Linked DNA regions of Rhinolophus ferrumequinum. The protein of the gene in region 3 purifies or fractionates together with the protein of the main gene of each other region. This does not show direct contact. Links are inferred from orthologs where the notes say so. Each region holds a gene or a part of one and is shown on either strand. Other genes may lie near its edges.

The links.
Region 1: the proteins of melanoma-associated antigen D2 (region 3) and GNAS purify together in Homo sapiens (affinity purification with mass spectrometry; 3 studies listed by BioGRID, counting the BioPlex papers as one, with this or other methods). This does not show direct contact. The link is inferred for Rhinolophus ferrumequinum from reciprocal best matches to the Homo sapiens genes MAGED2 and GNAS.
Region 2: the proteins of melanoma-associated antigen D2 (region 3) and C1QBP purify together in Homo sapiens (affinity purification with mass spectrometry; 3 studies listed by BioGRID and IntAct, counting the BioPlex papers as one, with this or other methods). This does not show direct contact. The link is inferred for Rhinolophus ferrumequinum from reciprocal best matches to the Homo sapiens genes MAGED2 and C1QBP.

The regions. Positions count from the first base shown.
Region 1 is NC_046306.1:3,449,198-3,459,496, forward strand, and holds the start of GNAS (guanine nucleotide-binding protein G(s) subunit alpha isoforms XLas), read right to left. Parts: upstream 4,798-10,299; coding exon 2,919-4,797; intron 2,700-2,918; coding exon 2,580-2,699; intron 1-2,579. UniProt on the Homo sapiens protein: Guanine nucleotide-binding proteins (G proteins) function as transducers in numerous signaling pathways controlled by G protein-coupled receptors (GPCRs).
Region 2 is NC_046304.1:12,969,762-12,980,174, forward strand, and holds the start of C1QBP (complement component 1 Q subcomponent-binding protein, mitochondrial), read right to left. Parts: upstream 4,798-10,413; 5' UTR 4,712-4,797; coding exon 4,486-4,711; intron 3,882-4,485; coding exon 3,731-3,881; intron 3,158-3,730; exon of another isoform or gene 2,556-3,157; coding exon of another isoform or gene 2,343-2,555; intron 1,620-2,342; coding exon 1,526-1,619; intron 265-1,525; coding exon 169-264; intron 1-168. Other genes in the region: RPAIN (RPA-interacting protein), read left to right, coding at 2,343-2,555; ATP-dependent RNA helicase DHX33, read right to left, coding at 8,479-8,787.
Region 3 is NC_046284.1:81,176,199-81,186,306, reverse strand, and holds the start of melanoma-associated antigen D2, read left to right. Parts: upstream 1-6,310; 5' UTR 6,311-6,424; exon of another isoform or gene 6,425-6,499; intron 6,500-6,972; exon of another isoform or gene 6,973-7,051; intron 7,052-7,708; exon of another isoform or gene 7,709-7,841; intron 7,842-7,921; 5' UTR 7,922-7,950; coding exon 7,951-7,995; intron 7,996-8,368; coding exon 8,369-8,860; intron 8,861-9,464; coding exon 9,465-9,773; intron 9,774-9,890; coding exon 9,891-9,954; intron 9,955-10,108. UniProt on the Homo sapiens protein: Regulates the expression, localization to the plasma membrane and function of the sodium chloride cotransporters SLC12A1 and SLC12A3, two key components of salt reabsorption in the distal renal tubule.

The DNA.
Region 1 (10,299 bases), on a different chromosome or scaffold from region 3:
AAATTAATATACTGTATGTCAACTAGAATTAAAAAAAAAAAAAGAAAATCCCTGTAATGTAGTTAAGCTGTTTGGGCAATAAAAACAGAGAGGGCATGTACATGTACACACGTACACACACACACACACACACACACACACACACACACACACACACACATTTTTAAAGCAACAGATGAATCTGCATGTCACAAATTAGGAAGCCACATCACAGGATGGCCATTTGGGGGAGGTTGTTTTACATGTCAGGACTAGAATGGTAGTCGAGTTCTGTCCTAAATCTAAGTCTAAGCCCTTCCTCCTCTCCCGTTCCCCAGGGAGGAACTCAGCCCCAGATGGGGCTCCTCTCTTGTCACTCTGGCAAAATGAAACCTGGTCAGTTGTAGCCTGGCTGTACTCACTGCACTGCCACAGCAGGTGACACTGGCTATCTGCATTCAGGTCCACGCTAGACATGGCCGAGGTTTGGTCTGGACCATGCTTGACACCCCCCCCCCCTGCCACCCCAGGAGCAGAGCCAGGACAATGGCAGGGTGACCCCAGCAAGTTTCCTTTTACTAAGGTTAACCTCCCCCACTCCACCCCCCATACAAAACAAGGGAAACTTGTAATATTCTTAAGACTCGGCCTCAGACAGACAGTTTGCTGCAGGGCTGACGTTTGCATCATCTGGTATAAACCTCCAGTACTGATTTAAGTGGACCATGCTCTCCTCCGCACCCCGCTTGAAATCCCCAGAATAGGACTCAAGACACAGAGCAAAGAGATCTGCTGGGAAAGCTTCATGTCACAGACGAGGCAACTGAGGCCCCAGCATGCAAGGGACACTGCCAATTAGGGGCCAAGTGCACTGTCTCTGGGCTCTCCTGTCTTTACCCGGTTGTGTCACAGGCTTGCTTCCCAGAGCTATGCTTGGAATACTGCAAAGGGACCATTACGGCAAAATCAGTTGTCTGCAGGGAAATAGCACATTGTCTTTTGAGGCTCTGAGGCTTTAGTGCACTTGAGACATCTGAAATTTAAAACTACCTTCCTCCTGTATGTTTTTGGGAAAACGATGATGTCATGCTCTCCCTGGGTGGGCATAAATGACCATCACATTTAAAACTGATTTGTGAGAGATGCACATCACAACAGCGCACAGGTACGTCCACAATGCCATTAATTAAAGCCATCACACATTATAAAATATTGAACAAACAAATGTCGCAAAGCCTCAGAAATTGTGATCTTCAAATCCCTTGAAAGGTCTTAGAGAATAACAAAGAAATTAAGATTGTGGAGCTGCACTTTGGACATTTTCATTGAAGCCACACATGCAGACCACTGCTAGTTGCTGCTTTGATTAACTGTGGCACAGGAGTCAACACCTCAGATTTGAGCTAAGGAGTCTTGAGCAGGGGGAGGGGCCTTGGCAGGGGTGGGGGGAGGAAGGGGGTCCTGGAGAGGGGAGGGGGCAGGCAGAGGGCCGCCAAATGTACCCTTCTAATATGATTATGAACAACACACTTTCACGTTTTTTCCCCAAGCCCATTTGCAGAGGATCTTACCTTCGAGCCTCTGTTCCCCCAGCTCAAGCTGCTTGAAAAGATTCACATGCAAACATTTCTATATTTCACAACTCAGTCAACAGTTTTACCACATGTTGTCCACACACTTAAAATACACGCGAAGCATTTTTGAAAAAGTTTTATTTTAATTGCATTTCAAACATAAGACGGCAATCCACTCCCAAAGCACAACCCCTCTTTGTAAACCAAGCCCCTCCTACTGTACTAGGGTAAAAGTGTAAATGATTGGCTTACCTCGGGCTCTTCCCTAGGAAAAAAATTATTTCATGTTTTAAAAACATAGCCACGCCCACCCCCTCGGAACAAGCCTGGCGTGGTTTTTGGATCCAGACTTGCTTTACTGCAGGTTATGCGTTTTTTCCCCCTCATCCCTCCATCCCCCCCACCAGGTGAGCCGAATGTGTGCAGAATACCGAACTCGTGTGTGCAGCCCGGGACGCCCCAGATACCTGAGTGTCTGGTTTTTCAACCGTAAAGGCGGGAGAGTTTGGCGAACGAATGAGAAGTGAGGAAACGCTTAGCGCAACGGGAAAAAAGAGAGAAAGACATACAGAAAAAAAGGTTATGGAGGCCAGCGGGAAGCGGCCCCCTCTCCCCCCAGCCAGTTGCCCAACATATTACCCCGATGTCCCACCACCTTTTCTCCGCATTTTTCGCGCCGCCCGCTGCAGAGCGCCAGCTCACAGGAACCACCAGAGTATGCGAACACGGAAAGTTTTTGCCCGCGCCATGGCGCACAACACAAGACAGCCCATTCCCCAGTACAAGTACACAGTCGGCGGGTAATTTGGGGGTGCCAGGGATGGGAACTGGGAGACACTTGAGCATATCATGCACAGGCGGACACAATATGGACACCAACACACACCAACAAGCTGTCTGAGTCCAAGCAGCCGTGCCAGGCGAGGCGAGGCGGGGCGCACCTTCCCCACGACCCCAGCCCACCACGGCCCCAACAAGCCTAGCCTGGGGAGCCCCGAGGCCCCTCCCCGGTAGTTCCTGGCTCACCTGAAGCCCCCGCCTTCCTTGCCGGCCCCCACCCCAGGACTCGGGGTCGTCTTACGGTCGCTGGCGCTGGCTTGTCCAGCTGGAAACGACCCTCAGTGTTGTACGGCACCACTTTTCTCCCTGGAGGGCACATACTTCGGCCACCCAAGCCCACCCGAGCCCACCCCCCTCCCGGGGCAGAGTTAGGGCCCCTCACTGGAACTTTCTAGCAGGCTATTCCCGCCTTTGCCCAGACCCCCTCCTCCCGCCGCCAGGCCCGAGCCCCACCGGGCAGCCCTGCCACCCCCTCCCGGGTTCCCCGGCGGCCCTGCTGCCCGCGGGCAGAGTCCGCCGCATTACCTAGAAGCAGCAGGCGGTGCGTACACATGTAACCCATCTTTTCGTCCTGTAGTTGCTTGTCGATGAGCTTGCTGCGTTTCTTCTCTGCGCGCTTCTGAGCACGCTGCTCCAGGGCTTCCTTGCGGATCTGTCTGCGCTTCTCCGCCAGAGGAATCTTCTTGACCTTGGGGCTGCGTGGGGCTTTGGGCTCGGCGCTCTCAGATCGGCCGAAGCAGCCCCCGAAGGCTTGCATGAGGAAGTTGCGGAGCAAGTTGCGCCGGGGCTTTCGGCGGCGGCGATTTCTCCGGGGCTGCACGCAGCGATGGCATCCGAAGGTCCCATCGTCGGATTCATCGCTGCTGCGGTCGTCGCTGCTGACCGACCCCTCGTCGTCGTCGCGGCCGCGGCTGCGCTCAGACCTGCCCCGCCAGGCATACGCGCGAGGAGGCTGCGGAGTAGGCGGATCGGCAGCCTGGATCTCGGGGCTGGGGGGTCTAAGGAAACGGAGCTTGGGGCGGGCTCCGGAGGCAGGGGCCGCAGGGGCTGCCCGGGCAGCAGGAGCGGCTGGGGCGGCAGGGGCTGCCCCGGTGGCTGGCGCGTCAGAGGCGGCTGGAGCGGCTGGGGCTGTCCCGGCGGTTGGAGCGGCTGGGGCTGTCCCGGCGTCTGGCGCGTCAGGGGCGGCTGGAGCGGCCCCGGTGGCAGCAGAGGCAGGGGCGGCTGGAGCGTCCCCAGTGGCAGGAGCTCCGTCGCCCGGAGAGGGGACTTGGCCTCCGTCCGCAGCAGCAGCGGTTGAGCTTCCTTCCATCTCGGCTGCTTCTCCCTCAACTGGGGGTCTCTCTCCCTCTGCTCGCTCTCTCTTAACTGGGGCTCGGGAGACCTCGATGGGCGGGCCATCAAGCGCGATTGGGGGGCTGTCCATGTTGACGGGAGCGTCGTCGACCCCAACGGGGGCGCTACCAATCTCGAGCGGGGGTCCGGGGATCTCCATCGGGGGGCTGTCGCCAGCGAAGTGCGGAGGAGGTCTGACAGCTTCTCGGGATGGGCTGCCGATGGCGATGGCGCCTGGGACCCAGAGGGGGGGCTCGCTCGTGGCGGGAGCGAGGAGGACCGCACTCGGCACCGCAACTCCCGTGAACTGGCTGCTGCTACCGCCGTCGATTTGTAGGATAGCTCGGGGGAGCCCAGGGGGTGGGCTGTCGTCCCCAAAGGCTGCTCCATCAAACTCAAATGGCATAGCCTCCTCAGGGGGAGGGCTGCAGCCTCCTCTGAAGCCTGCATTCGCAGGCCTGAGGGCTTGGGGCTCCTCAGAAGGGGTGCTGTGGACCCCCACACCTGGGCCTCCTGGAGCGAGGTCTGAGACCTGCAGGAGAGGTTGGCAGCAATCTCCCTGGGCAGGTTGCTCAAACTCAAAGGGCATGGCTTCTTCGGGTGGAGGGCTGTAGCTTCCCAGGCCTGGCCTGGCCTCACAGAAGGCTCTGGGCTCCACGAGCGCTGAGTTGAAAGCCTCGAGGCCTGCATGGGCCCCACTGGTGTCTCCAGGCTGCTCCAGGGTAGGCCAGAAGCTTCCCAAGCTGGGCTGCTTGACCTCGAAGGGCATGGCTTCCTCAGGAGGTGGGCTGTAGCCTCCATGGGCTCCGGCTTCCTCGATGGCCTGGCCGAGGCCTTGGAGGTTGGGCCTGGAGACCTCTGGGGGTCCACATGCCTCGCCTTCAATCTCGATGGGGACGGGCTCGCTGTTAGGCGGTTGGGTCTCCATCTCTTCGGCTGCGCTAGGCCCAGCACTGGGGGCAGCTGCCCCTGGGGCCTCCAAAGATGGTTGCTCGGACTGCTCCCCGAGTTCAAGGGGGATATCGCGTTGTCCTGACATATTATTGCCGTCGAGGCAGTTGCACACGCCCATAACACGGTGGCGAACTCTTAAAATAAACTTGGGGCCCCGTAAGACGGAGCACCCAACCGAACTAGGGTGAAAAAAATATCTTAAAAAAAAATCAAAGTACCAGCCAGAAAGTTCTCCAACCTCACTTTCCAACCCTCCTGAGGTCTAGGGGTTCAGGGCCTCAAACCTTAGACTGTGGCAGAAGCAACTCTATTGTTGCTGGTGGAGTGTTGGCTTCTTCTTGGCCACTTTTTATCCCCTCAGGCAGCCCCTGGCCCCCCCTTGGCCTGCCCTTGTCCCCTCCTCTCTCTCTTTCTCTCTCTGTGTTCCAGGCCAGCCCCGCCTGCTTGGATCTGAGGAGCGTGTCGATTCGGTCCGAAAATCGCTCGTAGTGCTCTCTTTCTGCCACCAGGGGACGCCGGCTGGTGGCCAGGCGGCTCTGGGAGCCGGTTCCTGGCGCCGGGAGCCCCGGACTTTGGGTAAGGGGGCTGTTGAGCTCAGGCCCCGCTGGGACGTTTTGGCTCTTTCCACTGCTCTCCCTGACTGATTTGGAGTCTTTCTCCTCTCTTCTCCCCTGGCCAGAGAGAGAGCCTTCTCCTGCGTTGCGGGACACGTGACGCAAGACGTGGGCCCCGGGCTGCTTGAGCGCAGGAGCTGAAACCCTCCCTCCCAGACCCAACTGACTCTCCTTGGGGGAGGGGGAATTGCATGATGTTTTCCTCACCCCAAGTTACCCCTGAACACCTGAGCCGCAGCCCCCAGCCTTGGGCAGCCTTCGATCCTGAGCCCCAAATCCAGAGCGCAAAGCTTTGGGCGCATGGGAAAGGGGTGTCAGCATGCACGAGGATGCGACAGGTGGTCGTGAGCCCACTTTCAGAGAGGACAGGAGGCGAGGGGCGAGGTGATGCCGTGTGCGCACACAATTGGTGTTCTAAATGCCTTAGTGTACTTTCCATCGCTTCTGCAGCTTTTGTTTTCCGGCTTGCCGAGGTTGGCTCCTGTAAAGCACTTCAATGTCCCCCGTACCCACCATGCTCTGGGGGGAGGAGGGGGGGTCTTCGCAGGAGCTTTGAATGGCGCAGGCTGGATTCTCCCGATTTACGTGGACGATGATTCAGGGAAATAGAGGGTCTCGGGCGCATACCACGGAGACCCTCTAATTGGTAGCCACCGCGGCACATAACGGGGGGGGGGGGGCGCGGGATGCGCATGGGGACCCCACAGAGTGCAGGCCTCAGAGTTCCGGGGCTCCTACTGCTCTGGGGCAGGGTTAAAGGAGATTTCAGTTGGGGTTAATGGCTGATTTAGAGTGGTCTCAGAGACTGGTCAACCATTTGCGCACTGAACCCAAAGACACATCGTGCCCTGCTGTGCCGTGCTGTGCCAGCAACCGCGGCCGCGGTGCGCTGTTTCCTGCCTCGGGCGCCGGCTGCAGGGTCGATCAGTTTGTTCCTTCCGTTAGCTCCTCTCTAGCCCCCTCCCAGCCCCTCTTCTCTCGCTATGAGTCTCCCGAGGCAGCCGCTTTACTTTCCAACTGCTGTAGCCCGCCGAGGTGGCACTAAGCTCTGCTAAAAACCCAGCGGCCGCCCTGCTGCGCTCCCGTCTCCGTAGCGCGTGGTGGGCTCAGAGCTAGTGGGGGTAAATACCCACACTACCTGGGTGGGCTTGACGCGTGCGCGCGCACTGCTCTGGCTCTGGGGTCTGCAGTAGGATTTGAGCCCAGGAAAATTTTGCTGCTTGCGGATCACGTAAAACCCGGGACATGGGTATCAGGTCTGTCTCGCCAGCAGGTGACACAGACCTGAGAGCCACCTTTAGGCGCGAGGCAGCTGGGCAGGGGCAGGTGGACACCTGGCTTACGGGCGGGCAGCCCGGCGGATGAGTGTACCAGTGGATGGGCTGCGGCAAGCGAGGCACACCGCCTGGATCGCTGTATCTACGAGCCGCAGGCGGGTGAACCACGCATGATCCAATCTCATTAAGTGTAACACGTCTCTTTCAGAACGAGACCACATCCACAGCGCAGCACTGCCCCCGCGTCTGCCAACCGTGTTGCCGCGCTGCACAGAGAAAAACTGACAAAGTTGGACCCTGGGTAACGTTTGAGGTCCCTCAAAGGTGTATCACCTCAGCTCTTTGGACCTACACACTTCCAAATGCCAACACTGAACTTTAGTTCAAACTTTGGCCAACTATACCCACGCGTAACGGCTCAACCATTTGGGCATCCACTGAATGGGCCAACTGGGTCTCCTCAGTCAATTCACTCCCCTCCGACCCCAGCACTGGGTCAGCCATTGGGTTGGGGTCACGCCAATCAATGCTGCCTGGCGAATGAGCAGGGGGCGTCGGACCGGAAACCGGATATGAGTGGGAGGTCCAATAGGGGGCGCCGCGTTAGAACGTCCTAAGAGATTGTGCTGCTGGGGTAGTTGGAAGCGGTCGGTGGGCCGGCGTATGGCGGCCAAGCGTGGGACGCCACGAGGCCGGCTGGCGCCGGGCGGTCACTCTTCCTGACTCCAAAACTCACAAATGCTGGAAAGATAATTGAGGGTTCTTAGGGGCCAACCCAGGGTCTCACTGATGGCGGTGGGCAAACACACCCAATACCCGGGACCGCCGCCGGGGCAAGGAGGCTTTCCAGGGCCTGGAGATAGAGGGCCAGGACCCTGAAGAAAGAGGGGGCTTACTGCTCCGAGGCAGACGAGCAGCCCCAGATGGATAAGGAGTTGAGGCCCCAGGGATGCTGAGCTCTGCCGAAGTGGAAGGTCAGTAGACGTTGGGGTTGGAGCCCCAGGGAGGCCGTGATGGGGGCCCCAAAGGGACGGTTTGCTCTCGCCAGGCCTCGCGCTTGGCCCACTTCACTGGGGCTCTTTCCCAAAGCACTGTTGTTCAATGAACGGGTACCGGGTCTCTGACATCCCCGTAGGCCTGTGGGACCCCTTTGTCCAACACACACTTTCTGGTATCTTGGTTCTTTGCCAGGAGAGCACATGCATTGAGGGGAGTTAAGACTGGGCAGATAGATACCAACCCTCCATTCTAAAGGGTAAGCAACATAGAATGAAAGACCTCCAGTTGGGGGGATCTTGAAAGTCTTGATGGAGAAAGTGGCATTTCAAATGTGCCTCCATGGAGGGACAGAAGGTTTGGCTATGAATAGAACGTGGCGGGGATAGGAGATGTTGGCTGACCATGAACGAAGATGCTAGGAAACAGAGCTGGGTAAAGAGAATAGGACACTGTGTCAGGTCTTGGAGGACCAGTGGGAGAGAAGTCATGAAAAATTGGATAGGATCTCTCCAAGAATACTATGGCATATCAGAACAACAAGTTTTGAGGCTATTTATGTTGGAAATGGAGGTGTTGATGGTTTTTCAACACCTGCAGGTGAGAATTTGAGGCTAGTTTTAGGAGAGGTTAAGGCAGTATGGAGGATGGTCCTGATGAGAAAAAAAGGGGCTGTGGCTGGTCATAACCTTTAAGGGAGGGAGAACCACACATAGTAAAGGAAGCAGGAAGGCCGAAGAGAGGGGCTCGAGGGATCCTAAAGGACCCTCTAGCAACTTCTGTGCTAAAATGGCACAAAAAGTGGAGGAGACAGAATTTGGCACCTGGGTGATGGGACACGTGTGGGAGGATCTGGGGAGGAGTTGGCATGGTGGCGGAGCCATTTGGTTTTAGACATGGCAGAGGTGAAGGAAGGATGGGCAGTCTGGATGGAGAGCTTTACAGCCTGTTACTTAGGATGGGTCTGAAGTTCAGAAGAAAGATGACAACCCCAAGATCAAAGTGACGGTCATCCTCATTAAGATGAAATCGTTGGATGAGAAACACCCTCAAGGGGAGAAACAGATTTGGTGACAGAATCTTGAACACTTGGGGGTACTAGAGAGGACATCACAGAAGAGAGCAGTGGGGCTAGGAAGAGACCCATAGGCTCAGACCAGAGGGAAGAATTTAAGAATCGGTCAGCAGATCTCGTCTTAAAGGAGCTTCCTTAGCCTCTGCACTGCTGACCTTGGGGACAGGTGATGCTTTAGTGTGACTGCCTGTGCACTGTAGGATGCTTAGCAGCATCCCTAGCTTCTACCCACTAGATGCCAGTAGCATCCCCTTAGTTGTAGCAACCAAAAATGTCGCTAGACTTTGCCATATGTCCTCTGGGGGGCAAAATCGCCCCCCAGTTGAAACCACTGCTATAGTCTGAGGAAGGACCCTGTAGACTTGAGTAGGAATCACCTTAATTTAAAGGTAAATTAGGACCAGAAGAAAAAATTCCAGTACTTAACTCTGATGGTCCTTTTGTCTGCTTCTGTTTATTTTTTCTGCAGTGACTGGCCCCCCAGAATCTGAGAACCCCAAATCTCTTGGGTGAGTGAAACTCCACCGCAGATCAGCAGTGCGACTTTAGAGACCCCCTGAGCATGGCCAGATGTTTGAGGAGCTGATTAACCAGAAAGGCAGCTGGGTGGCCTGGCCACGGGACTCAAGGAATCTGGCATGGTAAGAGCTGGGGTTGATCAGCTGGTGGGCTGCTGGGGCCACTCTGATTGGGGGGCCTGCCTGGGGAGCCCGCTCAGGGCTGGTGATCTTGTTGGCCTAAGACAGATGGACTTGGCTGGGGATGAGTGGCTGTGGGCAGCCTAGGCCGGGTCTAACCCCGCTAGGGACATAGTTTCTAGGATCTGCCGTTGTAGTTTTATAGTAGCCAAGTACGTTAAGCACCGATTTCCAATTCTGGGTGGTTTTCTATCAGGGAAAGAGGTAAATATTTGATAGGAATGAGAAGGAACAAGCAAGGAAAGTCAGTTAATGGGTTCACGCAGTTCAGGAAGAGGATGGCAAGAGAGGCTAGTCAGGTGTCTGCCAGAAGGCTGAGCTGGGGTGAAGGTCAGAGGCTGCGTGACAGCATCTGGACCCTGTCCCTACAGGGAGTGTGAGAGTGAAGGGCTACCGTGAGATGCTGTGGGCATGAGAGGAGGAAAGGATTGGCTGTCAGAATCCAGGTGAGGGTTTGCTCATTTCCAGCTACTGAAAAAGAAGCAGTTTTCTACACTTGATGAATTAAGAATGCAATGGGAAACGCTACCATGTCTCAGTTCAACTCTGCCTGTCTGAAAGGCAGCCTGTTCAGACCAAATGGCCCAGCTGCCACAGGCAGCAGATCAGCTGGCTTTCTGTAAATAGGGAACCCCAAATGGAAAGAAGGGATTCCTTCACTGCTGACTGAACAGCGGCGCCACTGCCACCTGCAGAGATGTGGCCTCCTTCCTTGGTGGCCCCACGTGGCGCCCTGGGCTTCCCAGTAATGGACGCCTCCACGCCAGCACACTAATCAGCAAACAATTATTAGTATACTTACATTTGGGAATTCTGACTGCCAGATGCACAAGGCACATCTAGATTTTCAGGAGCTGCCTGTCAAACTTCTTTCTTATTATAGTTCAGCCCTGTATCCAAGAAAGACAAAGTAGAGGAGGGTCCTTTGAGAGGGAGGGGAGACCGGTAAGAGGGGAAGGA
Region 2 (10,413 bases), on a different chromosome or scaffold from region 3:
AGGACTATTTACAGGTTAAAACTCACCAGACTTTAACCTTGCTCCCTGACTCCCCATACCTCTACTCCCCTGCTTTGCTGGCCTAAACTAGAAAAGGGACCAGTAAGATCTCTGGAGGCCCTCCTTGTCCCCAGGGATGCCAAGGTGCTAGGACTCCATCCTACATACCTCATCTTCTGGGTAGTGACAGTCGAGCACAAGGGTCTTCTTGCCACCACTCTTTATTACTTCAACCACGAAATTGGGAGTGGATGTCAATTCAGGCTGGGGAAACAAGAACAAGTCAGCACATGCCATTGTTGGCAGGGGTGGGTTGGATGCCTGGACCAAAGGTCTCAGACAATTCAGGGGGTTTGGCAGCCACCATTATCAGGATATTATTTAGCCATTGTTAAAGTCTCATTCTACAGTGTTTCTAAATAAGGAGCCTAGAATCTTTATTTAACATGGGGTATTAAAGCCACATACTGGCTTATTCAGGAGACTGGGATGAATTCTTCCTATTGATCTTCTAAAGACTATGTTTTAGAGGGCAGAGTACCCTATATTTAGAACAGTCACCTCTATTAGCACCCTAAATAATATACTAGGTTTAGAATTAAGAGATCTGAATTCCAGCCCCAGCTATGTGCCAATTAACTGAGGTCTTGATCGTTCCTTATTCTTCCTGGGCCTTTTTCTCCATAAACTGCGAAGCTGGCCTAAAGCTCTAAGATCTCTTTCCAACTGACTATTTCAGGATCTTCCTATGGCCCAGGACCAAAGGCCGGTGCACCTGGCTAACTGGCAGTCCTATGTATGAATAATCACAGTCACTCGCCCTTTGATGGTGAGCCATCCAATGTCAAAGAGATCCTAGTTAGGGTAGCTGAGACAGCAACACAGCAGGGATCTGTGCTAGTTCATGAGACAATACAGATGCCTGCTTAGTCAGAAAGTCTGGAGACCCTGTGGCCCTCATACCAGCTGGTTTCTAGGCTAGACACACCGCTTCCTAAAATGTTTGAAGTCTGGTCACCATCCAGGTCCAACCAACAGGGCCAGCAACATAAGCAAAGACGTTGCCAAAATCTCTGGTGTTAAATTAAATCTGATGCCCCTGGCTTTGCTACTTTGGTTAAGTGGCTGGTGTTTTTATTACCAGCCTGTGATGTGTTAGAACATCCCTCACTTGGCAACACTCCAAATGATAATCTCTGATTATCAAACACCTTCCCATTGTGGAAGGGTTAAAACCGTTTCCATTCCTTTCCATTTGGAGAACACAGGCCAAACTATAAATCCGAAGCTTGCAGATGGTAATTTACTCAGTCCCTGGGAAAGAAAAGGGGCCATACATTATCCCTGGGGCCAAAGGAAACTGCTGCTCTGCAAGTAAAAGTCCCAAGGATGGTTATCCTTTGCATTCTCCTCTCTTAATTTCTCTAGCATTAGAGAAATTAAACAAAAACACTGCTCCTCTAAGCCCCGGGAACAGCCTATCAGAATTCTGAGGTAAAGGCTGGTTATAGGGTTACAAGCTTACCTCCTGTTCTTCAACCTTCTGCCCTTGGGATGGCTGTTCCTCCCCATCATATGTGGGTGGGATACTATTGTTAATGTTGAAAGTGACAGTGATCCTAGAAAGGCAAAAGAAAACACATCAGAAAGAATATAGTTCTCTTTTTTTTCAGTTACAGTTGACATTCAATACTAGTTTCAGGTGTACAGCATGGTTAGACATGTATATAATTTATGAAGTGTTCCCCTATAAGTCTAGGAACCACCTGGCACCATACATCGTTATTACAATATTGGCTATATATATGCTATGCTGTACTTACGTCCCTATGACTATTTTGTAACTGCCAATTTGTACTGCTTCTTAATCCCTTCACCGTTTTCACCCAGCTCCTCAACCAGTTCCCCCGTCTGGACAGGGTAGTTTTAACTGAGTAGTTAAATAAGTATGGAAACCTGCTAGTTAAAAATATGTATTGAAACAAAGTCTCTAACCTAGCTGTCTTTACATGTGAATTATTTACAGACCTTCCAGAAAAGCCTGGGTGCCTACATCTTACCTAAGATGGATTCAGCAGGTCTCAAGTGTGCCTACTATGTGCCATCTGCTGGAAGTCAAACTAACAGGCCCCAGTTTATCTCAGCTAAAACGAGCATGTGTGATCAGGCCAGCATCCCAGGGCTCACTGCCATCTTGTATCCACTGGTGGTCTCATGGCCACAGCCAGCTGACATTGCTCACTGTTGTCCTTCCAGGGCATCTTCCAGCGGCAATGAGCAGCTGAGAAGCGGGTGGGATGGAATAGATGTCTCTTTTAAAAAGCTTTTTTTTTCTCCATCAGAAAATCTGCCCCTTGGAGGAAAGGAAGGAGCACTGGAGGGTTGCATCAGCTAAGGACCAAGAGCAGCCCTGGCCCCAGGAAGGGGAAGCCTCACAAAGAACAATAAGCTGCAGTACAGTCCTTCTTCAGAGTACTTGTGGGAAGTTTTATAACCACAAAGCAGGCCAGAAACACCAATTAATGAACAATTTCAAGGTACAAGAATCCACCTAACAAATCACGTTCCAAAGTTTGAGTCAAAATTAGAAGTGATGTGAGATTTGAAACACTGCTGGGCTGCCCAACTCCAGCAGGCATTATGTGCACACAACAGCACACTGTAAACGTGTGGCCTCGGGAGCTGTGCCAACCAGCTGCCTTGCTAGGAAGCCGCTTTCCCATAAGAACAATGACGGTCTGAGGTTCAGCCACAAAATCTGTCTGATCTGCAATGTGATGACCAAGTTGAGCTCCTAGAACAGGGGTGTCCAAACTTTTTTTAATGTTTTTCACCAAGGGCCATATTCGGTAAAATACACAAACAAACAGCCGGGCCACTTACTCGAGGTGAAGTACGTATTGCCTCACTTGGTTTATTTAAGTAAACTAAATATACTTTTTGGAATGTCCTGCGGGCCAATTAACAATGGATTGTGGACCACAGTTGACCGATGGGCCGCAGTTTTGACACCCGTCTTAGAACATAATTTATAATGCCCCCAAACTGGCCATGACTCACCCTAGGAAAACGGTTTAGGTGAAAATTACAGAATTGACCTACTTGTATATGTGGGGAAAAACACAATATGCCACTACGCCAAAAAAAAAAAAAAAAAGCCAGAACCCTACTTCAGAAACATATCTAGACATCCACTCGAAACGGATCATAAAAAGAGCTAAGCTAGGTCAAAAGCTCCCCACCCTTCTAATGACAACCATTTACTACACTGGAATCTCATCCTGTTCCATATGAGTTGCATGTCTTGCATTTTCATTTACTGTAAACATCAGGAAGCAGGGGCCTTGTTTTACTCAGAGCCTGTAGTGTAGTGAATCAAGCACTGTAAACCTGCGATCTAACTGATGCTGTCATTACGATAGGAATTTCTGAATGTGCATGCCTAGAGGCAGGGCATGGCCTCCGCCACCAGTAGGGGTTTACTGAATGAGCTGTTTCTGCTGGGCACCGCTACATGCTTTTGTGCTACCTCCTTACTGTCTCCTTAGTAACCAGCCCACAGGAAATTTGTGTGCAATGAATGAACTACCAGGAACTTAGGAAATTATCCAAATGAATCCTTCTGTCTCTTGGAAACTATGTATCAAAGTACCTGCCTTAACTCAAGCTGTTCTGGGGATGACCTGGGGCAGGGACATGGGTTTAGGCCCCTGGAGCCCACCATACTTACTTTTCTCCAGCAACATTCCGCACTAATTTGGCTTCTGTCCCATTCACTTCCAGCTCCCAACCTCCAGACATCTTGGGGAGAGACTTATGCTTCTGTATCTTCTTTTCCTCCTTAATTTCATCACTCAGGAATTCAACAAAAGCTTTGTCTCCTACAACGAAAATCCATTAAAATACAGAAAAAGAAAAGCCCATCAGTTTAAAACGTACAAATGACCCGGGTTACTCTAGCCAGAAATCTGGACTTGGACTGTTAATAATCATTCTCTGGGAACTTAGTCCAACTCACATCCACTAAGCCTCAGTGTCCTTCTCTGTAAAAATGCTGTAATACTGTCAGTGGGAAGCCGAGCTATATTCTGGAAAAGTGATTTGCAACAACGAACTCATTATCATTACCACGTTTCACACAAAGCACGAGTTCCCAATTACCTTCTCCCACTCGCCAAGTCATAACCACGTTACTTTCAACCACAACCTTGGGCCTTCCTTAAATTCCATTTTTGAGACTAAGTTTAAAGTCGGTTTCCAGGATTTAATTGTACATCTCACCCTAAAATGAAACACTTAGCGGACAGGAAAAAGGGGAAATGTGATCACACGTGGGTTTCATCCTCTGGTTGCCCAACACTGGGAAAACGTTTCGGACCTCGCGGGGCCGCTCTGGGCGGCCCACTCGTGGTCTACACTTCCCGGACCCCCACCCCATTCAGGAAATCTACCCCTCACGGCCCCGGCCCACGTGCGCGAACTCACCTTCCGTGTGCAGCGCGCCGCAGCCGCAGGAGCAGGGTCTGCGAGGCCGCAGGAGGCTGGGCAGTCGCGCAGATCCCGAGCGCACGCTGAGGAACCCAAAGGGCCGGGCGCACGGCCGGGGCGCGGGCTGCAGCAGCGGCCTGAGCGGCGGGAAGGGCGCGGCGGCGCGGAGGCCGGCGACGGCGGAGCCCAAGGCTCGGGGCACGCAGCGCAGCAGAGGAAGCATCGCGAAAGCTGCAGCGGACACGTGCGGCTGAGGACGACTCGGGCCAAGGCGTAACCGGACCGAGCTCACCGCCGGAAGTCCCGCCCTCGACCAGGAAACGCTTCCGCAGCGTCGCTTTGCGGGTCAAACGCGGTGGGTAGGACTGCCCCCTCTGCTTGGGGGCGGGGGGCGGCGCGTTCCTGAGCAGCGTCCGGGGGAGGCCTCAAATCCGGTAGCTAACTTTTTATCTGATCAGCAGGCCTGAGTCTGGTGTGCAGCTTTCTGTTTGATTCGCCAGCATCACTTGTCTCCAGCAGCTGCTTACACTTTCCAAATTTCCATCTACTGGTCTGAAAGCACGCCAGGCTGTGACTTCGCAGAACGCACTCTTGCCACCTCCAACAGCTTACAAAGACTAGCCTTCAAGGTCATCTCCTTTAAGATGCCTTCCTGTAACCTCCTCCTCTCTTCCGTGATAGGAACTCACGCCGGCGCATGCCCCGCCGCTACCCTTCAGTCTTTTCTCAGGAGAAACCTCCTGGCACTGCTGGTTTACCTGGCAGCCTCCCCTCACCCCCACCGGACTAGGAGTACCCGAAGGGCAGGATCCCTGGTTAATTCCTGCCACCTTCCCTCTCCATACCCTCCAACCTTAACCTTGCTCTCAGATTCTGATGGGACATTATTTTGGGGGGTGCAAGAAGCCATGGCTTACGTCAGATTTAGGTTAAGAACCGATGTTCCTACTTTAACAGGACACACAGGATATATAAGGTACCAAAAAAGTGAGTCTTCCCCAATTAGTGGCAAAGTTAAGATGAACAATATATTCTAAACAGCATTCTGTAAAGTGAAAGAAGACTCAAGATAGAAGCCATACACACCATGTACAAGATTCACTTTTAATGGATGTAAATCATGTGCAAATTTGAGCATTATATACAAGAACTGATGTTTTTATAGAGCTGTGTCTATTTGAACAAGACCAGATTCTCAAAATACAACACAAACCAGAATCAATTTGATTTTTCTGGTTTCTTTTTCTGCAGGTTATAATATTTTGATCAAATATAATCAAATCCTTGCTCCCCCACAGATGCAGTGTTCCTTTACATGCTCAAGATGCCTGGCCACGGTTCCAAGCAGTTCTTGATAGCTGGATTAAATGTATGTATCATGGTACATAAAAAGTTTTACCCACAGAGCAAAAACTTGTCTCCATTCTGGCATCGTTTTACAACCAGCAGAAATGCAACGTTAAGTAAGGGTTCTTAACAAGGACCGGCTGTTGGCAGTTCTTTCCCATAATGAAGTCTGTTCTCAGTGCCCTGGATGTTCCAGGCTCCATCGTTACTAGAAGACAGCTGAGGCATGCCAGTTGCTTGAAGATGCTTGTGAGAGCTAGTGATTCGCGCAGATATGGGTTTCACAGTTTAGAAGAGGTGTCACACCATCGTAAATTTGACGAATGGAAAAAGTAGCTCAAGATGATATTGCAACATTACTGTGAAACATTTAACTTTCTTAAGAAAGTTTAAGTTTAAAATGTGCTGTCCCCTGCAGCTCAATATAAATAACCATTTATTTCTTTGTTGTAATTTGTGGAGTCAGAATGGGTTTTCTAATCTGATTTAATCCCTGAGCAGCTATGTTAAAAATTAACTTTTTAAAAAGCCCAATAAAAAACTACTGTATTAAAACTCTACCAGAATGTTACAATGATAAACATATTTCTGTACAGAAACATTAAAGCTACTTAGAAGCTATTTACATTTATTTAGAAGGTATTTATCCCTATTCCTGCTCAGAAAAGAATTTATATTTCCAGAAACTCTTTAGGTACTTAAGTTGGACACAAATTATTCTAAGTTTTATTTGCCCCAGAGAACACCTCTCCATAGAGAATTGGCTGAGGAACATGATAAATCAGCCCACTCCCTATTTTTTACCAGCATGATGAATGTTTTATTAAAAATATTTTCTTTTACCCAGTCAGGCTAAACATCCTAGGCCTCTATTAAATAAATGAGAAAAACACACTTTAAAAACCTTTTGCAACAGTAAAAACAAGTCAATCTGAGGAAGAGCCAGCTAAGTCTAAGCATTCAATAAGACAGGGTATATAGGATCTGTGGAATCCTCTTTAGCCTAAACGTAACTGTTCCTAATATAATTAAATCACAAGTGCCCATACAGCCCTGAACACTAGATGAAAGCTTGACTTCTCAGGGCCACGGCTACTGCTCGAAAGCCTGAGCCAGGCTTAACATACACAAGCATGAACAGATGAGACCCAAAATGAGCTCCAGCAGGCTATGGTCTTGGAGAAGAGTTCAATGGATCCAGAGTGAAGAGACCATCCATTGTCGCTGAAGAGTCTCTCAGTTTAGCCCCCTGCCTATAAACTGCATGGTTCACTTTAAGTAATGACCAAAATACTGCACACATGTGTTTAGACCAATTAAGCACAATAAAAGGGCTAAGTCTTGGATTCTTCTAGGGCAAAACATTATCAGGGGAAAAATCATTTGCTTTCGATAATTAAACAGCCAAGAAGAACCTTTAGTGTCTTTTCCTTTCTCAAAATGAGAACAGAAAGACTGTGAAGACCTAATTCCCTCTGAGAAAAGTAGAAACAGGGTTAGAGAGGAGTGACTGGCACGGTTAGGAAGTAGCAAAGGCAAGTTGTCCCCAAGTCCCAAAGAAGAAAAAGAGATCATAGAAAATAAATAAGATCTAAGAATATAAACACCAGATGAGGTGGATGGGACGAGCTGCGCTAATGCTGTCTGGGTTCTCACTGACCCTTCGTCTCTCCCCTCCACCCACCCCAATAGCTGAGCAGGGGCTCTGACAGGAAAGAAATAGTTGAAGTATAGCACGGAGCCATTCCTTATGCTCACATATTTACATGGACCCAGTGACAGAGAAAATGGCAACTGGCTATGCTGGAAGCCATCACGATTTAAAAAATACAAAGCAACCCTCACCTGGGAAACTTCCACGGGTCCTGAAAGCACGGATGGGGACATGTGCCACAGAGGCACCACGGGCAAGGGGGCACCGCTCAGGAACCTGCGAGCTCTCCTGTACTGTTGTTCTCTGCTTGGAGGCAGGAGTCCACACACTGGGCAGGAGGCTCAACAGCGGCGGCCAGCCCACAGGTAAGAGGCAACAGCCCCTCCCTCCTGAAATTTCTGCAGATGCCAATCTCCGATGTTTTCTATTTAAAAACTTCATACAGCTAGACATTAAAATAGATCGAAGGACAACATCAGAGCTCTGTGACCGCCTATGGTCCCCTCCCAGAAAGTCCCCCTTAGTGACGAGAACTCGGGATTCTGTTGTACTCCATTCACATTATGTAAAAAGGAATAATACCTCATGCACGTTCACTGCGCGCCAGGCACAGCGCTGATGTGAAATGAAAGGGATACTTTCATTTTCTCTAAACCTCATGACACCAACCTTACAAGTAGTATTATTACCCCCACGTGGCAGATGAGGAAACTGAGGCTCAGAAGTTAACTACATCGCCCAGCAAGAACCGAAAGCATAATTCCGACATCTCAAAGGTATAAATGGTAGGTAGATGTCTACACGGTTCCGTCCTAAGAGGTTAAACAAAGATGCTTGCAAGCTCCTGGAGCCGGGCACGGCCCGCTGCATTAGAACCAGCCGCTTCCCCAGGCGCCACGCTGGAAGCCAGGGGCGAGGACAGGACGGCTGCGGTCCCAGCTCCAGGTCCCAGCTCCAGGCCCCAGCAGCGCCGCCAGCGGCTCGGCGGCTCAGTTTCTGGCGGTTCTCAGCTTCCGGCGGAAGTACTCGGGGGCGGCGTCACACAGCCACTGGGCGTCCACCACGCAGAGGTCCCGCATGTAGCACTTGTTGGTGCGCAGCAGCTCCGTGTACACCACGCAGGCGGGCTTACAGTGGAAGAGGACGGACGAGGGGTGGATGGCCACCGGCTGGTGGGTGTCGGTGGTGGCGTAGGTGCCGTCCAGCTGCAGCTCCGCGCTGCTCATGAAGAGGCTGTGAGCCAGGCAGCGGCGGACGCTCTCCATGTCTCCTCGGCACGACACGGTGGGCATCGACATCTGTTTCAGGAGGAAGCGAGAAGTGGAAGAGACCCCAAACAGATACCGCTCAGCACGGCACGGTATTCGGAACACCTGTAGCTAAAAGGCAGCCCCCACTGCAAGCCTGACAAGGTGGATGCTGCCATTCGGCGGGGTTCCTCACCTGCCTCCGCCATCAGCAGGGCGAGGAAGGGCCGGGTTGAAGGAGAGTGGACTGAAAATAGGAAAATCGCAGCCTGGGAGAGTGCGGGCCAAGAGGGTCTCGAGGTGCCAGACCACGGACAGGTTATGAGCCAGTCCTCAGCCCCCCACGGAAACGTCCAGGACGTCCCGGGAAGGAAAGGCCCTTCCCTCTGACCACTTCCTTCCTCATCTCCTCACTCCGACCCATTTCATACACTGCCGCCACATTCATCTTCCTCTAGCGCAACTCGAACCACTCCTCATCCACTCAAACACCTTCCGCGTCCCTCCCGCTCTGGCAACGCAAGGCAAGCTGCCCACTGCGAAGCCGTGAATGAGGCCGCCTCAACACGCGGAGGTCCTCCGCAATCAACTGCCTTCTCCCCAGGCAGAGGGCCTTCGCCGGCCACTCCTCAGACAGACGCCCCTCAGCCCCACAGTGGAGGTGTCAGCCGTCAGTCAGTGTCCTGAGCAGGTCGTGTCACCTTACACCCCAGGTCACAGCTGAACCGACCAGTGGCAGGCACTTGCCTGACCCACGCTGGGCGAGCTTCTCTCTTCCAGGCATTTGGAATCTGAACATGGGAAATCTGACCAAGCCCGTTAGTCTCCTGAGTGAAAGGCTGGGGCAAGGAGTCTGAGGTAGAAGGTGAGAAGGGGGAAGGAGGTATGCAGAGAGCAGCCAACTAGAGGCCATGGCTCCAGACATAGAGAAAGCTGCCCTGGCTCCTGACAGCCTTTTCTGGTTCTTCATTCCAGTCCCTGAAGGCTGGATTATTTCCTGCCCATTGGTTCCCAGAGACACCTCTTTATCCCCTACCCACCTTTTCCCTTTAAGGTGGCTCAAGGGGTTCTGTTCTTGGATGAAGACACTATCGCCTCATCTGTCAGGATAAGCTCAGTGCCACCACCTCCAGGAAGCCCAGAGTCCTACAGCTACGTCGCGTTCTCACCTTCCAGACTGCCAGCTCCACCCTCCCTGGCTGTGAGATTTGGGACAAATTACTTAACTTCCTTAGGCTCTAGTTTCCTCATCTGTAAAATGGGAGAAATAACAGAATCAACCTTATAGGAGTGAAGTGAGGATATCAAGTAAGGCAATACATGAAAAGTGTTTAGGGTGCCGTATTTCATAAACAAAGGCAATTATCATTATCGGCTCCTCACATCACTTATTCGTATGTATATGTCAGATTGCCCTCTGGATTGTTCTGTAAGATACTTAGCCTTAGGCAGATCTGTAAAACCCCAGGACCGAGACCTGTGTCTGGTATATAGCGGTCAGCCACTAAAGCGTCCTAAGTCAGAACTAATAGAGGAACACCATTTCTACTGTCATTCATAAGCTGAGAAAACTCATGAAGCCAAGAGGTGTTCTGGCAGGAAAACTGTTCAAGTGCAAGAGGCATTTGGAAAAATGAGTAAAATTCAGAACACAACAGGCTACTATGAAAAGAAATA
Region 3 (10,108 bases):
AATAATTCAAGAAAAAACAGACTATTAGAATCTCTCTCTACCTCTATCTCTATGTCTCTGTAACTGCTCAAGAAAATAACTGTCCAAATATAATGCAAAATAAAATATAACATGATTATAAGCAGCTGATGAAATACAATTGAGATTCCCTTTGACCTTGATGATGGAAACATTCTCCTTTGAGAGGCCCAAAGATTGTGATGTTGGACTTGAGGAGAAGGAAGTGTATTCCTGGCTCACAAATTGGCTGGGCTTTGAAAAATATTTACATAGTCATGATAATATATATGCTGTTTATTGGTTTTCAGATTTTAGAATCAACCCGAGGACAAAGCAAGGAAGACCTGGTTGTGGCTACAGCAAAGAAAGTAAATGTTAACAATCTGGACAATGTAAAGAAAAGATGAAACTGACAAATGTTGGTCATTGAATGAGCAGGGGGAGGGTAGTGGCCAGATATCCTTGTCCTAAAAAGTGAGCAGTTGAAGTTATCTGTCAAAAATGGATGGAATAAAGAATGGAGGTCTGAGTATATTTTTTTCAAGTTACAAAATTAGCCAAGAACAAAAAAGAAATATCAATGTTGAACACAGCAGGAGAGTAAAGGGAAAAGTAAGGTGGTGTACATAAACAAAAATCTCATTGACATACTGGGGAGTCAATAGGATATAGTCTAAATTTTATAAACCAAGAAACAGAGCATATACATGTTATTTAGAGTTGTGAAGAGAACAACCAGCACAACTAAAACCAAAAACTGTTAAAAGGTTGCTTTGAGGGAGTGGGAGGGAGAAGCAGAGGGTCAAGGCAGGGGACTGCTGGTTTTTATCATAGGCTTTTCTACCCTGTTTGATTTGTTGCCATGTACATGCATTACTTTAATAAAGATAAAATTCTAAAAAATTACGTTTATCTCACAACAACAAAATAATTATATATCTTATGACACTTTATGACAGTATCAAAATGGGTGTCTGAATATCCAGTTAGACTTGCCTGCACAGAATAAATTCATACTGTAATGCGTCTTATATATGTTTATGAAGAGGGTTGGAAAGGATATCCTGGGACTGAAAACATTAGAGGTAGTAAAGCATAGTGGTGAAGGCTCTGTTATATGGCATCACACTGACCAGGGTTCAAGTCCTCTCTCTGCCATTCACTAGTAGCTTTGCTATGGGCAAGTTACCTCCCTTACCCCCAATTCTGTCCTCTGTAAAATGAGGCTAATGTTCATACAGTAGGAATGTAAGCCCCTCAAGAGCAAGGACCACCTTTGTAGAGGTGCCCGATACATAGTTGGTGTTCAATGTCCATTGAGTGGCCTGAACCTGCCTCATACGTGCGTGCTGAAGTAGAACTCAATGTCCAAACAGCAGGGTAGAAGGAGTATTAGTCCAAAAATGGGTAGCCAGTCTCCTGATCTATGGGAAACTTGCCTTTGGTTTAACACAATGTAGTCATTTTTGTCGTGGAAAGATAGCGCTCAGGGCTTAGAGTGATACAAAATGAATTAAGTTGTCCTGCACACAGAAGGAAGAAAAAAAATGAGATTCTACCAGCAGCTCAAAGAGAGGACAGAGGATCCTAGAAATGGAAAGGAAGGGGGATTGAACCCTCTGTATGTTGGGGAGCAGAAAGGGCCCAACAGTGATGGAGAATGGGGCCCAGGAGAAGGGATGGTTAGTAGGCCTTTCCCAATGGTAGGAATGGCTGAGGAAATGTGAGCCACAGGAAAGTCTGATGTCCCACTTTAAGTCGATTGCTATGCGGTACTGTATGATTTAGATGATGAAAGAAGTGGTAGGTAACCTTGGAAGGAAACCTTTGTCATCTGTTCCCAGCCTCACCTCTTTTCCAAAATTCAGAGATATTGATTTTGTATAGTTTAGGGGTGATGAGGATATTCTGGGCTTCCCATTTAAGCTTCAGGGGTCTGAAATCTTGAGTGCCCCAGTATTAGGCAGTTTCACCCCCTGACACCCCGCACTCAGCAATCTTCAGCCTGTCTTTCCTTATCTGTTGAACAGAGCTGCCTGGTGATAACTCAGCTTTTCATCTCTTCCCTTAGTGGATATGTAGGATCTACATGACCTCAGGTATTTGCCTGCTGATATATGGATACTGAAAACCAGTCTGGGACTCAGTGACTTAGGTTCTTCAGAGTTTATGAGTAGATGCTGAAGACCAAAGGATTCTTCTTCCCACCCAGGAGAAGGTGGGAAGAAATCTCTCTGGTCAAACGGTGAAGATTGTGAACGAATTTGTCTTTTTTCTCCTGATAAGGTTTCTTCCTGTCCTGTGATGCCGAGGTCATACGATAAAGATGGTTATCGTCTTGTGTTATGAAGGTGGTGGCATTGAGAGGGGACTAGAGAAGATAGGCTTTGAAAATCTTTGGGAATGTCTCTCTAATGGACTTGGACTGAGATTTTGCCCGAGTTCCTTGAATCCAGTATTTCCTAATGTTCTGACTCTGTATTCCTTTAAAGTTACCCCAGGGTCCCAAAGGTCACAACCAGGACTTAAACGGTTGTGGAATTTAAAATGTTGGAGGTTGAAACAGAGGTTAGATGTAACAGAGGATGTTCCATGTGGAAGAAATCATATGAGCAAAGGCTCCTAAGCAAGAGAAGGCAGGGCACATCTGATAATAGTGAAGTTTTTTTTATTGATTAGAATATAGGCAGTGGTCAGAAAAATAGCAAGTGGTCAGAGGTAGATTTTGGGAGAGCCTTGAAATCAGGCTCAGGCATTTCTTGAAAGAGTAGTCTATACACATTGTCATGATACCTCACCTCACATCTCAACCTGCTGCAACCAGGAAACTATTGCATAGCATAGACTCCAAAATAACAGTGGCTTAAATAAGACATACATGTATTTACCTCATCTAAAAGAAATCCAGACGTAGGCAGTCCAAAGGTGGTAAGGTGGCACTATGAAATTGTTAGAGATCCAGTTTCTTTTTAGTTTACTGCTCCACTATTCTTAGGGTGTTACCCTTGTCCTTATGGCCTTTATTCCAGGAGGCTATGTGTCCCCCTAAAAATCAGATGTTCTATTACTAAGGAAGAAGAGGAGAATGGATATTGGGGTAAGCAATGAGCAATCTGCTACAAATCTCTGTACTGAAATTATTCCCTCCTAGGTCACCAGAGACCAGACTACCATCTGATTGTTACAATACCTAGATATTTTTTTCCAGGCCTTTTCTTGACCTATTGGTAGCATTCAACAATACTCACCCCTCCCTCCTTTTGAAACATTCTCTTCCCTTGGTTTTGTGACACTACATTCTCCTGCTTTTCTCCCTTCCTCACTGGTCACTATTTATCCATCTCTTTCATGGGCTCCTTTTCCTTCACCTATGCTGTAGTTGCTGCTGGTCACCAGGGCTCTTCCCTGGATGCCATCTCTTCTTTTTTTTTTTTTTAAATTTATTGGGGTGACAATTGTTAGTAAAATTACATAGATTTCAGGTGTACAATTCTGTGTTACATCATCTGTAAATCCCATTGTGTGTTCACCACCCAGAGTCAGTTCTCTTTCCATCACCATATATTTCATCCCCCTTACCCTCGTCTCCCACCCCCTACCCCCCTTACCTTCTGGTAACCACTAAAATATTGTCTGTGTCTATGAGTTCTTGTTTCTCATTTGTTTGTCTTGTTCTCTTGTTGTTTTTGGTTTATATACCACATATTAGTGAAATCATATGGTTCTCTGCTTTTTCTGTCTGACTTATTTCGCTTAGCATTATACTCTCAAGATCCATCCATGTTGTCACAAATGTATCCTATATCATCTTTTCTTACCGCTGAATAGTATTCCATTGTGTATATATACCACAACTTCTTTATCCATTCATCTATTGAAGGACATTTTGGTCGTTTCCATGTCTTGGCCACCGTAAACAAAGCTGCAATGAACATTGGAGCACACGTGTCTTTATGGATAAATGTTTTCAGATTTTTTGGGTAGATACCCAGGAGAGGGATTGCTGGGTCATAGGGTAATTCTATTCGTAATTTTTTCAGGAACCTCCACACTGCCTTCCATAACGGCTGGGGTGCCATCTCTTCTAAGGGTACACATTCTTCCCAGGTGCCCTTGCCCTTTCACATAGACTAAAACCATTCATATACTGGCGACTCCTAGATCTATAACCTCAGCCCAGACCTCTTTACCGAACTTCAGGCATATATAGTCAACTGCCTGTGAGACATTTCCACTTGAATGTCCCACAGATACCTCAACATCAATGGCCAGTTCCCCAACATTAGTATTCCATATATCAGTAAAAGGGGTTACCATCCACACATTTGATCTCTCAAATCAGATCCCCCAGAGTTTCCTTTGACATTTTCCTCACCCCTTTCTCCACATTCAATTATTCATAAAGTCTTGTTGCTTTTTATTTCTTTAGTATCTTCTGAATTCCATCACTTCTCACCACCCCCACTGCTACCACTCTAGGCCAAACCACAATTATTGCTTATCTGGATGACAACTCTCCATCTTTCCAGGGAGATATCTAATCCATACTACTTATGGATTAGGCAGCTAGGGTGCTCTTTCTAAAACACAAATTTATGTCGTATTCAAGCCTAGAACCTTTCAATACCTCTCAGTGTTCTCAGGATCAAGACCAAAGTCCTTATCTTGGCATTCAAGACTTGCCATGCTTTGGAAGGAATGGGAAATTTGGCGCACTAGAACTGGAAGAAAAGGAGGGACTGTGTCTACTGTGAAATAAAGCCATGCAGATTGGGAGAGAACCGAAGAGGTAAGAAAGTGGTGAGCTGGTATCACAAACTTGGAGGAAGCAACAATTAAGAGAAAGAGAGGAGTCAGGAGACTAGAAGCCCATCTTGAATATCTGGGAAGAGTTGTATGTATGTTGAATTATCCACAGAACATAGGGATTCATGTTATTTTATTTGCTTTGTAAAGGAAAAGGTGACCACATAAAGCAGACTCATGACCATTTGAGTTACTTTTGGATGTAGGAAAATTATTGAATATTATTTCTGCAACTGACCACTGTGCTAAATTTTATTATGGTTTCAAATAACTTTTTAGTTGATGCTCTTGGGTTGCATTCATATGTTCTGTAATTAATGATAATTTTGTCTACTTTTCATTATTTATACATCGTATTTTGTTCTCTTGAATAGACACAATTACTTATGTGGATTTATTATATGGTAAAGGTGCCATTTCAAATCAGTGGGGGGAAGATGGATTAATTTGCACATGGTGTAGGGATAAGAGACTATGATTTCGGAAAATAATTATGCTGAGTCCTTACGCAAAACAAATTTTGGAATGATCAAACATTTAAATGTAAATAATAAAGCCATAAAAGTGCTTGGAAAAAAACTGGAATTGTTATAATATAGGATTGTGGAAAGCATCTCTAAGCGTGAAGCAGAATCCAGTTGTGATAAAGCAAAACCTGATGATACATTTCACTACATAATAATTAAAACCTTTTGTACAGCAAAAGTTATCATAATTAACATAAAAAATGTTTGTCACATATGTGACACAAACATGTGAGAGACGTTGTTAGTGGGAATGTTATTCCATGTACCTTTTGACAGTAAGTTGACAAATTTTGTATCAAAATGGAAGACTTTTTTGTAGCATTTGAGTCAGCAAAGAATACCATCAATAACAACAACAACCCAAAACAGATTCTACAAGGATGTTCCTTGTAACATTGTTTGTAATAGTAAAAAAAAAAAAATAGTAAAAAAAAATTAATAATAAAATAAAATAATCTAAATGTCCATGTATCCTGCACTGGTGAAATAAATTATGGGACATCTATACAAGAAAAGATTATGCAGGTATCAAGAAAAATGTGCACTATGGAAAGCTGCTTAGAATATATGAGTGGAAAAATAACAGGTTACAGAACAGTAAGTATAGAGTACCATTTGTGGGCAGAAAACTCAAATAATAGGTATATGAATATAAAAAAAATCTGGAGGAATGTATATCAAAATGTTAATAGTGGTTATATCTGGGGGATGAGATAAGGGTGGTCTTTCATTGGTATGTTACATATTTCTGCATTATTTGAATTTTCACAACTACAACACATTATCTTTGTAATAAGAATAAAGATATGAAAATAAATAAATTGAATGAATGAATAGCTTTGAGGGTCTAGTTTTGGTTGGAAGGGCTTCAGACCGAGCCTGGTACAGTGGCATAAACACGGGCTTTGGCGTCAGACAGCCCGGAGCGGGGCCTCATTGCCCCACCCCCGAGGAAGGAGAAGGAGGGGTGGCAGGGGGCTGCGGAAAGGGGCTGGGCTGGGCTGGGCTGGCTGCAGCTTTAGTGCTGGAAGCTTTGACTTCGAGAGGGACTGAGAGGGGAGAGACGCATCCCAGACTCGCTCGTGGACAAGGTGAGGAACGCTGAGATTGGGGTTTCCTGGCAGTCAGACAGTGGTTCCAGCCCCCTCGAACCTGCAGCCAGGCAGGTGGGCAATTCTTACTGCACCACTGCATCTGGGGGTGGGGCGACCTGGCGTGGGATGTAGGCAATCAGGAGGACAGAGAGTAGTAGGCTGTACGGACCGGGAAGCAGAGACTAGTGGAAGAGAAGGGGGAGAAAAACGGGAAACCGGGGATGTTGGGTGGTGGATGGGGAATATAAGGGGGAAGGGGAATACTGAGGGGAAGTGGAAATCCAGAGAAGAAAATATGGGATGCAGAGAAGGGTTAAGGAATACTGGGGGAGGGGTGCATAGGTAACATGGAGGAGGATGCAAGGAGGGGGAACAGGGAATTCTTTGGGGGTAAATAGGAAATGCGATGGGGAAATAGGGAGCAGGAAGCAAGGCAGAGGGAATACGGAGGGGGGTATAAGGAATGAAGAAAAGGGAGCGGGGGAAGGGCAGACTGGCTGAGACGGAGGCCCCCTAGGGAGGCGGAAAGGGGCGGGACCACTTCCGGCCTGGAGAGGGGAGGGCAGTCTCCGAGTTTCGGAGGGGCTCGGAGAGAGTGGTCGCACTCGGGAATTGTAGGACGAGGTGAGCAGCAGCTGGGCCCAGTTCTGGATAAGAGCCCGGTAGGGCTCGGCCCCACCCTCTGGGATCTAGAGAAAACCTGCCCTAAGGACCGGATCTTACCGGATCCATCCGGCTGGGAAGGGTGGGGATTGGACCCAGTTTGGCTGGACCCAAGATGGAATCACTAACTCAGTACAGATTTGAGGAGGGGGTGTATTAGGGAAGGGGCAGAACCAAGATGCGCTTTGCCCCTGTTTGGAGGGGGGCGTGTTATGAAAAAGGGCGGGATCGGGTGGTACTGTGGAGTTGGGGTGGGTGTGAGTAGGGGAGGGGCCGCGACCACCAGACACTAACAATTTGAGAGGGAGGCTTGCTGGGGAGGGGGCGGGACCTAATGCTGCTGCGGACCTGAAGAGGGGCGTGTGCTGGCAAGAGGGTGCAGGACTAAGCCCGTGACTATTGCGCATGCGTACTATGGATCGCTAGAAAAGCGTGTAGTGAAGGGCCCGCTCTGAGACGGGCCAGCTGCCGAATGCGCATGTGCACGGTGGACATCAAAGAAAGGGCTTGTGCTGGGAAAGCGGGCGGGGCTGAGATGGGCCCTGCAGCGAACGCGCATGCGCACTGTCGATCTGCGGCCGGGTGGGGGGGTGCACTGGGAAAAGGGGCGGGGTCCTCAGAGCTGCCGCGCTGGCACATCTTCCTGGAGAAGGGGAGGGTGGGGCTGCAGAGAATTGAGACCTGGACGTTGTGGATTTCTACTGAATCTGAGAACGGAGTCTCTGGGGTGGGGATTAGAGCCCTAGGAAAGGTGAGGATCAGCCTCCAGGCAGAACAGGATATAGGACGTTCAGTGGGCTCTCCCCTTGACCCAGGACTTCTCTCCTTCAGACTCAGCTCTTGCCAGGCCAACTTGAGACATGTCTGACACAAGTGAGAGTGGTTCAGGTCCAACCCACTTTCAGGTAAGGCCTCCTTCTGCCCTCTCCCTACCTGCTTTTCCTCTCCAGCCCCTGTTGTCCTAAATCCTTTGGCAACCCCCTCCCGTCCTTGTCCTTCTCCACCCACTTCCTTGCCTGGGTGCCTTCCACCCCAGTAGAGGGAGGGAGGAAGGAACTAAAGAGGGAGGGAGGAGGACGGAGGGCCGGCAGGCCCACCCCTCTTCTGCCATCAGTTCCTGCTCAGAGGAAGGGGAAGCCTTGTTGGGCTGAGGTGGTCAGAGCATGCTGCAAGTAGGAGTTAGTATAGGTCAGAGAAGTGAAGGCCTGGAATTTTGGAGCCATTTGCCTAGTTGGGGATGGGGAGAAGTTCCGCAAGCTTCCCTGCTTTGTCTTGCAGACTGAAGCTTCAGAAAAAGACAGTGACTTGAAGATGCAAACCCTATTAACAGTGACCCAGAACTTGGAGGTCTCAGAGACACCGAAGGCTTCAAAGGCACCAGAGGTCTCAGAGGCTGTGAAGGTCTCAAATGCTGCAGGGGTCTCAAAGGCCGCAGAGGTCTCAAAGTCCCCAGAGGCTCAGGAGGCAGCTGCCACTCAGGTCTCATCTACTACTAAGCTGACAGATACCCAGGTTCTGGCAGCTGAAAAGAAGAGTCCAGCAGCTGACACCAAGATGCAGAATGCTGACCCTCAGGCTGTGACAATGCCTGCCACCAAGACCAAAAAGGTCAGCTGTGTGGCTGATACAAAGGTCAATACAAAGGCCCTGGAGACTGAGGCTGCTGCCTCTCAGGCTCCAGAAGATGAACCGGAGCCTGAGGGTGCAACTGCGCAGGCTCAGGAGAATCAGGATACTCGGCCCAAGGTCAAGGCCAAGAAAGCCCGAAAGGTAAGACCTTTGCAGTCACTGCCCTAGTCTTTCCATTCTTCTTTCAGTTGGTTTACTTGTTCTGCAAACATTTAGAAAGTTCCCCAAGGCTATGGGGGACACTAAAAGGAGTGTGATGCAATTTCTGTCTTCAGAGAGCTCTCGGATTGGTGGGGAGATGAGACAGGAATACACACAGCTGCGATCTGAATGTAACGCAATTTATTTTTACATAGTAGCTACCTTGTGTTAGGCTTTGAGCTAAGCACATTCACACAGGTTATCTCTTAAATTCTAAAAGTAATCCAGTTTTATAGAGAAGGAAGCTGAGTCCCAGAGAGGTAGAATGACTTATCCGTGGTGGTTCAAGCAGAGCAAGTAGTGGACATAGGAAGAGGAGACGCCTCAGACTCCACCCTTGGCCTGGTTGCTCCTGGCCTGGTTCACAGATGAAACTCCTGATTGGGTGCCAGTGAAAGACAAACGCAAGATTTAGCATGGCCAATGTCTAGTGAGTCAGGTTATTACAGGAGTGGGATTAGAGGGGGCTTTTGGAAGATATAGGATGAGGAAAAAGGACCATCTACTTCGTCTGGCAAAGTTGTGATCCTCTCTTTCGATGTAGGTGAAGCATCTGAATGGGGAAGAGGATGGCAGCAGTGATCAGAGTCAGGCTTCTGGAACCACAGGTGGCCGAAGGGTCTCAAAGGCCTTAATGGCCTCAATGGCCCGCAGGGCTTCAAGGGGCCCCATAGCCTTTTGGGCCCGCAGGGCATCACGGACTCGGTTGGCTGCTTGGGCCCGTAGAGCTTTGCTCTCCCTGAGGTCACCTAAGGCCCGTAGGGGCAAGGCTCGCCGCAGAGCTGCCAAGCTCCAGTCATCCCAAGAGCCCGAAGCATCACCACCTCGAGATGTGGCCCTTTTGCAAGGGAGGGTAAGAACCCTGTCCTCCCCACTATGCCTTATCCAATGCCTTGTTTGCCCTCTTCAGCATCCTTTCAAATCTTCTGCAAACATATTTTGATCTTTCCATCTTTTCCTCCTGTTTCAGGCAAATGATTTGGTGAAGTACTTGTTGGTTAAAGACCAGACGAAGATTCCTATCAAGCGCTCAGGTAGAGTCCTGTTAACCCTCCCTCCCCCTAGCTCTGCCCTCCATCACCCTCTTCCCCGCATGCTGGGAGCATTCGTTGCTCTCGTGCTCCTACCTCTGTTCTCCCAAAGTTCTAATTTGGCAGTGCTAGCATCTCTTCATTAGGTTAGCACCTG